Macaca mulatta: one gene and its partner. The main gene of each other region encodes a partner of the protein of the gene in region 2 in a complex. Links are inferred from orthologs where the notes say so. Each region holds a gene or a part of one and is shown on either strand. Other genes may lie near its edges.

Region 1 (5,979 bases), on a different chromosome or scaffold from region 2:
CCAGGGAAGGGATAGTGCTATGAGGAGAGGCCAGGCCTCTGCTGGTGAGGCCCAGGTGGACAGCACCATGACCCGCCAGACCTGGTCCCCACAGCACCCCTGGTTGGGGAGATGGACAGTGGACAGGTCATGTGATAACTGCTGCCTCAGCATTTTGGGGTGACAGGGTCCCAGGGAGGCCCGGAGAAGTTCTGCACAGCCAAGGATGGAGGGGCAGGTAGACATGTGGGCTGCGGGACACCCGGCAGAGGGCACATGCAGAGTGGCCAAGGCAAGAGGGAGAACACTTGGGAGAGTTTGAGGAACACAGGGAGGGAGGCCAGGTGGCCAAGGCCCAGGCCAGGGAGGGGCTGAGGAGAGGCCAGAGGGAGCCGGCAGGGCAGCACACACCAGGTGAAAGTTTGGCTTTGATCCCAAGAGACAGGGAAGGATTTAAATGGGTGTGATGCTAAACGCGTCCTGCTGGCCGTGGTGTAGGGACTGGCCAGAGTGAAGCAAGAATGGACCTAAACTGGAAGGACAGCTCTGCCAGAGCCATGGGCAAGAATGTGGAGGGAGGAGGAGAAGGAACAGAGGCCCGTCCAGGGAGGCCTGGGAACAGTGGGGTCTGTGGACACGACAGCTGGAGGGTGCCCAGGAGAGCGCTTTGGCAGAAGATGGAAAGCAGGGTCCTGTGGGCTAGGGGCCATAGGACTTGGCTTGGCCTCTGTGGTGTGGGGGCTGGCCTGGAGAGGGAGGTGGCATGGGGATGGCAGGACTGGGGCCTGTGGCAGAGCCTCCTCCCCCGCTGAGCAAGGCATGTGGCCTCACAGAGCTTCAGTCTTCCAGGAAGATGGGGTTCCAGGGAAGGAGCCTCAGCTGCAGGCCGGGAGCCCAGGGGGTGGACCCCCAGGCACAGCGGGGACCCCAGGACAGCAGGGCGGTGGCTAAAGAAAAGCCCAGCGCGGTGGGTCACGGCTGCACTCCCAGCAATTTGGGAGGCGAAGGCAGGCGGATCACGAGGTCAGGAGTTCAAGACCAGCCTGGCCAACATAGTGAAACTCTGTCTCTACTAAAAATACAAAAAGTTAGCCGGGTGTGGTGGTGGGTGCCTAGAGTCACAGCTACTAGAGAGGCTGAGGCAGGAGAATTGTGTGAACCCAGGAGGTGGAGGTCACAGATCGCGCCATTGCACTCCAGCCTGGGCGACAGAGGGAGACCCCATCTCAAAAAAGAGAAGCCCCAGTGGACGGGCGCGGTGGTTCAGGCCTGTAATCTCAGCACTTTGGGAGGCCGAGGCAGGCGGATCACTCGAGGTCAGGGGTTTGAGACCAGTCTGCCCAAAATAATGAAACACCGTCTCTACTAAAAATACAAAGCATTAGCCAGGCATGGTGGCATGGACCTGTAATCCCAGCTACTCAGGAGGCTGAGGCAGGAGAATCACTTGAACCCAGGAGGCAAAGGTTGTGGTGAGCCGAGATCATGCCATTGCACTCCAGCCTGGGCAACAAGAGCGAAACTCCATCTCAAAAGAAAAAAAAAAAGAAGAAAGAAAAGCCCCAGAGCACTTGGCTGGATGGGGCAAGGCCCAAGCAGGTGAGTGAGTGGGTGGGTGGGGGCAGGGGGCCGAGGGGAAGGCTACAGTCCTGGGGCAAGGTCTCGGTGTGACGGGCGGGATGGGGGAGTGCAGTGGTGGCAAGGTGGGGGCAGGGCCGGGTGTGACGGGGGTGTCGAGGTGGGGGCAAGGTTGGTGTCCACCGCAAACAGATTTCACAGGGCCCGGGGTGGTGAGCTGGGGTCAGGGTGGGCTATGGGAAGCCTCAGAGAAAAGGACCCACCCAAGGGGCTGAGAGAGTGGCGGTGGCCAGGAACCAGGGGGCGGGTGGTTTGCTGGTGGACGCAGGGACTCATTCTCCCAGGGCACCGGTGGCTCGGATGACCCAGGAGGGTCCAGAGCATCTCACACTGGAGCTAGGGTCCGGGCGCCCAGGCCACCTGCCTTCAGGCTGGGCCCAGACCAGGGGCAGGGCAGGAGTGACATGGGGGGCAGTGGACAAGTGGGACTGTGTCCAGAAACCAGAGGGCCCCTGGCAGAGAAGTCCGGCTCTTCGCAGCCAGCCACTCCGTGGGAGAGGCCCAGGGCAGCTGTGCATGGCATCTCACAGGCAGGACTGGAAAGGATGGGCCCCCACAACGAAAGGGAGGGTGTCTGTGAGATGACCACCACGCCCAGTGCCCCCCAAACAGCAGCTCCCTGAACCCTTCACTCACCCCCAGGGTTCACCATACTCCCTACGTTCTGGCGCCCCCCTCCTCCCCCTCCACCGGGTCGGAAGACTCGGGAGATGGACAGCAACAAAGTGGGCTCCACAGAGGGGCTGGAGAGGGGCCCGGATGGGAAAGAGAAGGTGCCCCTTCCAGGAAAATCCTCCTGCCGGGAGCATCCTCTCACCGCGGGCTTCCTGGCTGGGGGCAGGGTTTGGCGTGAGACCTGGAGGATCCCCTGGGCCTGGCCAAGTCGTGTCCCCTGACCAGGGCCTGGCTGAGACGCCAAGTCAAGGGGCTCTTTCCCGGGCCTGGCAGAGGAGGGGGAATGGCCCTTGGGGGAGTCGTCTCCTTGCTCTCCTTCTCCCCTGGGGGCCCACGGCCCGACCCCCGCCCCGCCCCACAGCAGGTTGCCTGGGGAAGGGGTTGCCGGGTGGAGGGACCCAGCCCAGCCGAACCCAGCCGAGGCCGGGGCGCCTTCCCGGAGCGGGGTCGCGCGACTCACGTTCTCGTGGCGCATGTGCTTGAGCAGGCGCAGCTCGCGGTAGGCGCGCTTGGCGAACAGCTCCGACTGGAAGGGCCGGTACAGCTTCTTGATGGCCACCTTAGCGCCGGTGCGGCTGTCCACGGCCGAGCTGCGGGGCGGACCGCTTAGCGGGAAGGCCGGGCACCCCGCGCAGGCCCCGCCCGCCCCGCCGGCCGCCCCGCGCTCACCACACCGCGCCATAGGCGCCCGAGCCCACGGGCTGCAGGTCCCGGTACACGGCGCGCACCTCCCAGGCCGTCTTAGTCACCTCCTGGCGGTAAAAGCCACTGCGGGCAGGCGGCGGAGAGCTCATGGCAGGCCCGGGAGCCGCCCACCCCGCAGAGCCCGCGGGCGGTGCCCCAGGACCGGGGACCTGGGATCGGCGGGGCTTCCTCGGCGTGCGCCCCGGGCCGACTCCGCGCTGCTCGCCCGCCCGCCGCTGGGACGCTCCTGTTCCCGGCCCTTCCCTCGGGGATGTCCCAGGTGCCGACCCTGGCCCGACCCCGACCCAGGCAGCGCACGGCCCCTCCCCCGCCCGGGGACCAACCGGCCCGCGGGCGGCGCGCACGTGACGCCCTCGCCCGCCCTCCGGCCCCTCCGGAAACCCGAGGCGGCCGCCGCCGGGGGAGGGCCGGAGCCTGGGGGGAAGCGCAGGGGGAGGGGAGCGCCGCCCCGCAGCTTTGTTCCGACCTAGGGCCGGACGCGGCGCGGAGATACCCCTGTCAGCCTCTCCCCTTTGGCTGAACTGCCCCGCTCTGGGGGTGGAGCCGGGGGAGTGGGGAGCTCCTGCTGAGACCCTGGGCTCCAGTCCTGACTGCCCATGGTTCCAGGGCGCAGGGCCCATCCTTGACAGCCTGAGCGCTGACTTCTATCGGCAGTCCCAAGTTGGGCTGAGCCCTGTGTACCTAGAGTCAACTTCCCACGCCACCCCCAAGGATGCCCTACCTCTGCGCCTGATCCATCCATCCCCGAATGGGGGGTCCATCTGCACCTGTCTTGCCTGTATCCCTCTTTCTACACGGAGGGGTCTGTCTCCCAAAATCCTCAGGCTGCATCCCCAACCCCACCCCTGTGGCCACTGACCCCGGGCCTCTCAGTCCCATAGGTCCCCGAGGGCCCTTTTGGACACCCAACTCCTCCCCCTGCTCCCCCCATCTGCGGGGTGACTGCTGCAAGTGTTGCAAGTGCTGGTGCCCCTGCCCGTCCCATCCCTGCCTGTCCTGTCCTGCAAAACCCAGGCTGAGGGTGGCTGCACTGTCTCCAGCAGGGATGGGGACCTGCTGGGGCCCTCAGCCTGACCCCTCTGTGTGGGCATTATCCTCCCATATGTCTGGCCCCATCCTAGACCAGATGCTCTGGTGGGCGAAGCCCCACCCTGACACCCCCACCGCAGTCCAGAAACCTGGGTCTGAGGAGGGATGTGGGTGCACCCCGGGAGCCCACTGGGCTGGTGGGTAACAGGATCGCTAGGGCCCTCTGCCCCGCCCTCCGGCCATGAATCAGCAGCTCAGCCGCTCAAGGGCGGGAGGAGCTTTACACCTGGGCTTTGGGCTGTGTTCCGTGGCATTCATCAGCTCGTGCCCAGTGAGCAGGGGCAGCCCGGGGCTGCCCAAACCACAGCTGCCTGTGGCCTGCACCCTTTGTGCCCTGGGCTGCCTGTGGCACTCCATCTACCTCTTTCAGGAAGCCCAGCTGCCACTGCTGTCCCCCTTAACTCCCCGTGGTGGAGCTCAGGGGTCCAGAAGGCCCCGCACAGACCAGGCTTCTGAGGGGGGGCTGTGTCCCCATTCTGCTCCCACCCCCAACCGCCAACACTGGACTTCCCCCAGGACTGACCACTACACTGATGAGGCCCCAGGAGGGCCCCCAACTCCCAGACAGTTTCCACCCCTACCCAAGACCCAAGCAAGGGCACAGACTGTCCCTGGCCCCTAGAGACACTGCCTGACCCCAAATGGTCTGGCCCCTCCCCCACACGTAAGCTGCAGAGCATAGTGGGAACGGGACCAGCACACACATTCTCTGGGTTAAAGTGGCCTCTTTTTCCTTCACCAGGAAGGAAAGGAAAGCTATTTTCCCTAGCCCACCCAGCCCCCACCCAGGGATGGGCAGACCCTTGCTCCCTTGACACCCAACTCCCCCCCAGCCAGCTTCCCTGACCACTGAGGGGTAGGGAGGTGGTGTCTGGATCTTGGCCCAAAGCCAAGCCTGCCCAGTACATCCCCACAGGGCAGCTGGGGTCACCATCTGGGTGGCCGTCCCACCCTGTGCCCTCAGAGCCCACCCATCAGCCGTGTCCTCCCCTGGTCCCCCTGGGCTCAGACCCTCCAGGGAGCAGGGAGGGTGCCAGAAGATGGCCACTGGTCTGACTGGGGGCCTGAGGGATCTGGCCAGCTAGAGGTGAGTGATGCAGAGTGACCCAGACACTCCCCCCATGCCCAGCAGTGGGGATGGCGGGGGCAGCAGGGCCTGGAGTGGCCTTTGGATATGAACCGAGCGAGATAACCCCCTTTATTGTGCACCCCTGGTGCAGGCACTTGACACCCAGGCTTCCCTGGGCCCCTCGAGGCAAGAGGTCACCCCCTTTCCAGGGCAGAGCCATACCCCCAACTCAGCTCTGGGCAGGGTCCCGTCTCCGAGGTTACTGGATCAGCTCCATCCTGGGACAAGGAAAGAGGAATGACACGCAGACCAGAGCACCTCAGATCTCCGGCTGCAGGGCCACAACGGTGGGCAGAGGTAGAGAGCGGGCCAGGGTGCGGCGCACAAGTGTTCGAGTCCAAGTCCACACCCGCGTGTGCTGCCTGCCTTAGCGTCCTCAAGGCCAAACCACCCAGTCACCCCCAGCCTCAGGAGCCTGCTGCGGGTCACATATCCGAGGAGAAAGCCCGTGCTGGCGCTCATGTGGCTGCCCTTTCGCCCACTGGAGCCCCCAGTCTGAAACACCCCTCACAGCATCAGGAACTGAGGAGAGGGAAGGCAACAGCACGCCCGCCCCAGCGCCAGCTTCTTGCCAGGCATGGCTGCTGGCCCTTAGGCGCCCACAGATTCACATGCACCATATCACATGTGCCCTGACATATGAACACGAGGAGTGCACGCTCATCCACATGTGCCCACACACACCCACGGGTGAACACAAGGCTCCAGGCAGCTTTTCTCATTTGACACCTGGTGGTTGTCCGTGCCCAGCCTGGTGGCACACT
Region 2 (5,759 bases):
AGAGGCATTGTCCCTGCTTTCCAGGACCACAATGCTGGAAGGTGAGCTCTCCTGGGGAAAGATGTAGGGACCACAAATTGCTGGTCTCTTCTCAACCACCACAAACCCTGACGGTTGGGGAAAGGCAGGGTGCCATGTCTTCTCACTCCCTCCCATCTGAGCCCTTCTGGTAGGTTATGCCTATCCTAGAAAATGTTGTCTTTTGCGTGCCTGGACCTGTAGTTCAGAAGGTCAAAATTGGTCCCTCTTGCTCCTGGCCCCACTCTACCACCTTTGCCAGCTCAGTTTCCTTATCTGCAAGGTGGGGAACGGGGTGGGGTTTGGCAGCAACAAACCCCACTGTGTGTGAAACCTTCCAGTTCACAGCCAACAAAGTGTTGGTCTCAATTCTCTAAAGCCAGTTACCACCTTGGAACCCCAACTTCTTCCAGGGATAAGATTTGTCTCTGACCTTGCCTCCCTAACCAGGTTTCTGAGACTTCAATGAGCATGCTTAAAACTACCAGAGTATCTTCTGTATGATAAAAGATGAATCGAGGGCTCAGAGACATGACTGATGATATGGTATGGGATCCTGAATCTGCTTCTATGGTACCTTGGGCTTTTTCTACTGCTCCAAGCTGTCTGAGGGCCCACCACCTGTCTGGCCTGACCAGGGCCTGCCCTTTCCTGCAGGGAAGTGGATGCAGGCACCCTGGATTCTCTGGGGTCCAACCCACATCCCCACCCAGCACTACATCTGCCATATAGAAGTTCAATAAATGCCTCAGCTACTCTGAAATGCCTTCAGTAACTTGACCTTTTACATTCCCCAGCTAATGTCTAATTTGCATATATGAGTCCTTTTCAGGAGATGGCAAATCACTAGAGACAACGCAGGACCAATACAGAGTATTAGGCACGTTCTATTCTACTCTAATTCTCTGCAAATTGGTATTCCATTAACTGCATGTGGGATTTATGGGAGCTCGCTATAAACTAGAATATTTAACTAGAATGGCCTACTCTGTCAGATAATAGCTTACTGTTGTTAATTTTCAACTAGTCAATCTCAAAAAAGTTTCCAACTTCCAATATACTTCACATCTTGATTTAATCATCCGGAAAGTCATCCATATCAAAGCCTCCATACAACAAAGGGGCAGGCAGCTTGATGCAGAAGAAAAAGACCTGCCCTTGGAACCAGGAGACTTGGGTTACACATCCCAGCTCTACCACATACTGTGTAACTGGCTGCTCAGAGCCTCAATGTCCTCATCTGTAAAATGGGAGTGACACCAGCCTCACAAGAGTTGTAAAGATTAAATGAGATGATACAGGTGAATGTACTCTGTAAGTTCTACAAGGTTATGCAAAGGTTAGTTATTACAAAAGCACAAGATGAAATTATCAAACAACTCAGGCTAATGACAGAAAGCATGAATTAAACTGGTGTTTCTAAAGGGGTGTGGGAGTGGCATTTTGCTCCCTAGGAGACATCTGACAATACTGGAAGCATTTTTGGTTGGAACAACTGGGAGACAGGAATTGCTACTGCAATCTACAGACCAGGGATGCTTCTAAATCCTACAATGCCCACGACACAAAGAATTATCAAACCCCAAATGTCAATAGTGCAAGGCTGAGAAACCCTGATCTAAATAATCACTTAAAGTTGGATTTGAGAGCTTTTTAGAACAGAAATCTTCCTAAGCAGGCTTTACTTTCTCCCATCATCTGCTTAAACATTTGCAAGATGGATCATCTTACAAAACAGCTCTTTTGTAAGTGAAGCCAAACTGCCAACTTCTGGAGTTTCTGAATGTATAAAACTGCTTTTAAAGGAGATGCTCTCTGATTACAATTTGGCTAAATTGCTTTTCCGAAGGCCTTGACTTCGGCAGAAGTTCTCCTGGGCACAGAGATAGGGTCTGTCACTCCACCAGTAGGCCGTGAAGATGGTTTCCTAATTCTAATTTCCTGCTGAAATGAGAGCCACGAGGGTCTCTAAACGAATTAAATTCACATCACGCCAACTGCTTGCTAGCTTTGTGCCGGGCACGGTGCCAAACACCTCCACATAATTTATCCCACTTAAGCCACTCAACAACCCAGCGAGGTGGGCATTATTACCAGCTGTTTGCAAGAGAGGAAACTGAGGACCAGCGAGGTTAAACAACTTGCCCAAGGTCACTAGCTGGCCAAAGGGGAGTCCAACTTGAACGGAGGTCTCCAGTTTCCAAGTCACAAGCTCCTTCCACCAACTCGGAAAACCCAGGTGTCAAGTTGTCTCAACTTCCCATGAATTTTTAAGGCAACGGCAACTTCTCAGTAAGTTTAGGTAGCTGAAAATGGGAATTTCCGGGGGGCTGGGCACTCTCACATACACTCCCCCCTCTGCAGCTCTCTCACCGCAGGTACCTGATAAATCATTCCATATCGCCCGCGGAACGGGGAGGATTTATTGGCGCTGGAGTTTCGTGCCAGGCCCAGGAAATGCCATCTTTGAAAGCCGAGAGGCGGATTCACCCTGGGAGCCAAGCGCTGGCCGCCGCGCTTGGCTGGCTCCCCACGCGCTGTGCGCCCCCTCGGAGCCCCAAGCCGGGGTCGCGGCGGCGCGGGGTCCTCCGGGGGTGCCGGTGGCACGGGCTCCGCGGGTTGCGCCCGCCCCTGCCCGGCCGGAGCGCACGCCCACGCTCCAGCGCAGCGTCCCGGCCACCCGCCCGCCCGCCCGGCGGAGCCCCACCCGGCGCCCCGCCCGCGCCCTCCCGCCCTGGCCCCGCCAGGTGAGCGCGGCGGGGCGCCCCCTCCCCGCCCCGACGTGGTGCGGGGACCCGGTGCCGCCGCACCCGCCAGCCCGCCCGCGCGTCCGCCGCGCGCCCCAGGGACGGGTGGGGGCGGGGTGGCGCCGAGCGCGACCCCGGCCCCCGGCAGCCCCGCGCCCTGCCCCTGGCTCGCTGGGGTCGCACTGGCCAGTACCTGAAGCATCCGGGGGCGCAGAGCGCCCAGGTAGGTCGCGCGTGCGGGCGGCGCGGAAGCTCGCTCGCGGCGCGACCTGGCCGCCGTCTGAGCATGCCCAGTGCCGCCCGCGGGCGGTTCCCGCCGGCCGGGCTGGCCGCGAAGGGCCCGCGCGCCGGGCGGGGGGCGGGCGTCCGGGCTGGCCTGCGGTGTTCTCCCGCCCCCGCCCCAGGCTGGCGCGCCCCGACGCATCTCCTGGGGCCACCGGGGCTCTCCGCCGAGCTCCGGGCAGGCCCTGAGTTCCCTCACGCATGCATGCAGCCATTCGTTCCACAACCATGACTGGGCACCTACTGTGTGCCAGGCCCTCAGTGATTTCATGCCTGGGGAAGGCAAGCAGTCGGCGCCCAAAGAAACTTTGAAACGAGGAGTCTTGCACGACGGGTGCGCGGTAGAGCCGAGGTCCCGCTGACTTCCAGTCCAGTGCTCGTCCCGCGGCACTAGTAAGCTTCCCTGGTTAAACCTCCCCAAGGCTCGTGGGACCCCTACCTGGTCTGTGCTCCCGCTTCCCACTTCCGCCTCATCTCACACCTGCCTTCCTGAGGATCCTAGAGCACCTTTCTGTCCATCAGACTCTGGAACTTCACCAGCCTCAGGACATTGGCGCGCGCCTTTCCCTCTGTGGGACGTTCTTACCCAGCTTTTCACGTGGCCGGCGCCTTCTCATTGTACATAGGTCCCCTCCTCAGAGAGGCCTTTCCTGACCACCTTCCTCGATTAGCCCTCTGCTCCTGGCCACTTCATGTACTTTATTTTCTTCACAGCATTTAACACGATTTATCCATTATCAGCAAATATTTATTGAGCACCTATTCTGGTTCTTCTCGCGTGGTGAACAAATAGACAAAAATTCTGTCCCCCCGTGGAGTTTGGGGAAAGAGGGACTGGTGACAGATAAACAGCAAATTAGCCAACTGTGCGTTATATTAGAAAGTGATAAGTTCTAAGAGGGAAAAAGAGCAGGGTCAGGAGGTTTGGGGGTGGAGGTAAGTAGTGAATTTTCAGTGAAGCAGTCGGATAGGGCCCTTGAGCTGATGGGCGGTCTGATCGGGTGACACTGAGAAGGTGATAGTAGTATTTCAGCCACGCAGATAAGCGGGTAAGAGCATTCCTGGCCGAGGGAACAGCCAGTGCAAAGACCCAAAAGGGCGCCGGACCGCTTAGGGAACGGCAAGGAGGCAGAGGAGCAGATGAGATCTGTCACTTTGGCTTTTCCTCCGATTTGTTTAATTCTCATGTTGTATTTCCCTCCTGAATGTCAGCTTTGGGGCTGTAGCTCTGCTTGTCTTTACTGCAGGGACCCCCCTGCGACACCGTCTGGCACACAGTAGGCGCTCAAACATTATTTGTTGAATATGTGAACGAAGGGATGCAGAGATGGCTGGAACCCTCCAGTCGGGCCTGGGTGCCAGGTCCTGGGGGCGGTCGTTCCAGGGATAGACTGAGGCCCCGGCAACCCCTAGAAGCTCATTTCGGTCCTTGTCCCCGAGCCGCATGTCCCGGGATAACGCCGCTGCAGCGGGTGCCGCCCGGGCGTCGCGTCGGGGGGAATTCCGACGGAGCCCGGAGTCCAGGGGCAGGACCGCCCGCGCCCCGCCCGGCCTCGAGTCGCCAGCAAAACCTGGAGCTGCGGCGCCCGCTCAGCACCATTCGGACCGGCGGGGAGCGCACTGGGCATGCTCGGAGCCGGGCGGGGCTGGAGCCCCCGGAAGGAGGAGCCCCCTGGAGGGGCAGGCGACGCCCCCCGCAGAGCTCCACCCAGCGCCCCGGGGCTCAGCGGGTGGCATTCTCTGTGCTTTCCCCGCTGCCTCATCCTCTGTGCTTCAACCATTGTGAATACCTACGCTTCAATCTGGGCCCCAAGTGGAAGTTGAATGAAATAAGGAACGTAAACGTGTTTAGACTACCTTAAAGATCCATTTGTTGAGTGGCTACCTAAATCAACAGTCATCCTCATGCCAGTTTGCCAACTGCTGAGATGAGGAAAACGAGGTCAACGGAGGATGTGTGAATTTTCGAAGTTGTCTTAATTTGCTGACCCCTAGACTGAAACTCCCTTTTCTTTTCTCACAGCTGACAGCCGTCAGCTTAAACGATGCCCTCAAATTCGAGCTAGAAACGTGCTTACACCTAAAGGAAAGACCTAAATATTTTTAATATCATGCATTTTAAATCACCATAACAGAAGCAGGAACAAAATGAAAGAATACTCCCCAAATTGGAAACAAAGTACTCAACAATAGAGGGATGATTAATTAGGTTATGGTATATTAGTTGAAATAATAGCTATCTTATACTAAGTTAAAAAGACCATGTTGCAACAGGGAAAACTTAGGGTACAATGTTAAATGAAAAAAAAAATGCAGAAACCAGGTCGGGTGAGGTGGTTCATGCCTGTAATCCCAGCACTTTGGGAGATCCAGGTGAGATGGTAGCTTGAGCCCAAGAGTTCAGGACCAGCCTGGGCAACAATAGAAACACCCCATCTTTGCAAAAAAAAAAAAAAAAAAAACTTATCCAGGTGTGGTGGCATGCACCTGTGGCCTCAGCTACATGGGAGGCTGAGGTGGGAGGATCTCTTGAGCCCAGAAGGTCAAGGCTGCAGTGAGTTGTGATGGCACCATTTGTACTTCAGCCTGTGTGACAGAGCGAGACTCTGTCTCAACAACAACAAAGCTAAAAACACAAATAGATTGTGTAAACATGGTGTTGACACATTCACCAACACTAGAAGGAAATATGGGAAAATATAACTGGTCATT

Evidence for each region.
Region 1: the proteins of PTPN3 (region 2) and MAPK12 are in contact, whole or in part, in a crystal structure (PDB 4QUM), measured with the Homo sapiens proteins. The link is inferred for Macaca mulatta from reciprocal best matches to the Homo sapiens genes PTPN3 and MAPK12. Residues at the interface, in NP_002820.3 of Homo sapiens: Arg655, Leu671, Asn674, Arg675, Tyr676, Lys677, Asp678, Val679, Arg751, His812, Ser843, Ala844, Gly845, Ile846, Gly847, Arg848, Met883, Gln886, Thr887; in NP_002960.2 of Homo sapiens: Met182, Thr183, Gly184, Tyr185, Val186, Val187, Arg189.

What each region holds. Positions count from the first base shown.
Region 1 is NC_133415.1:1,183,862-1,189,840, reverse strand, and holds the start of MAPK12 (mitogen-activated protein kinase 12), read right to left. Parts: upstream 3,359-5,979; 5' UTR 3,087-3,358; coding exon 2,962-3,086; intron 2,883-2,961; coding exon 2,753-2,882; intron 1-2,752. UniProt on the Homo sapiens protein: Serine/threonine kinase which acts as an essential component of the MAP kinase signal transduction pathway.
Region 2 is NC_133420.1:48,896,224-48,901,982, reverse strand, and holds the start of PTPN3 (tyrosine-protein phosphatase non-receptor type 3), read right to left. Parts: upstream 3,581-5,759; 5' UTR 3,487-3,580; intron 3,048-3,486; exon of another isoform or gene 2,959-3,047; intron 2,717-2,958; exon of another isoform or gene 2,113-2,716; intron 1-2,112.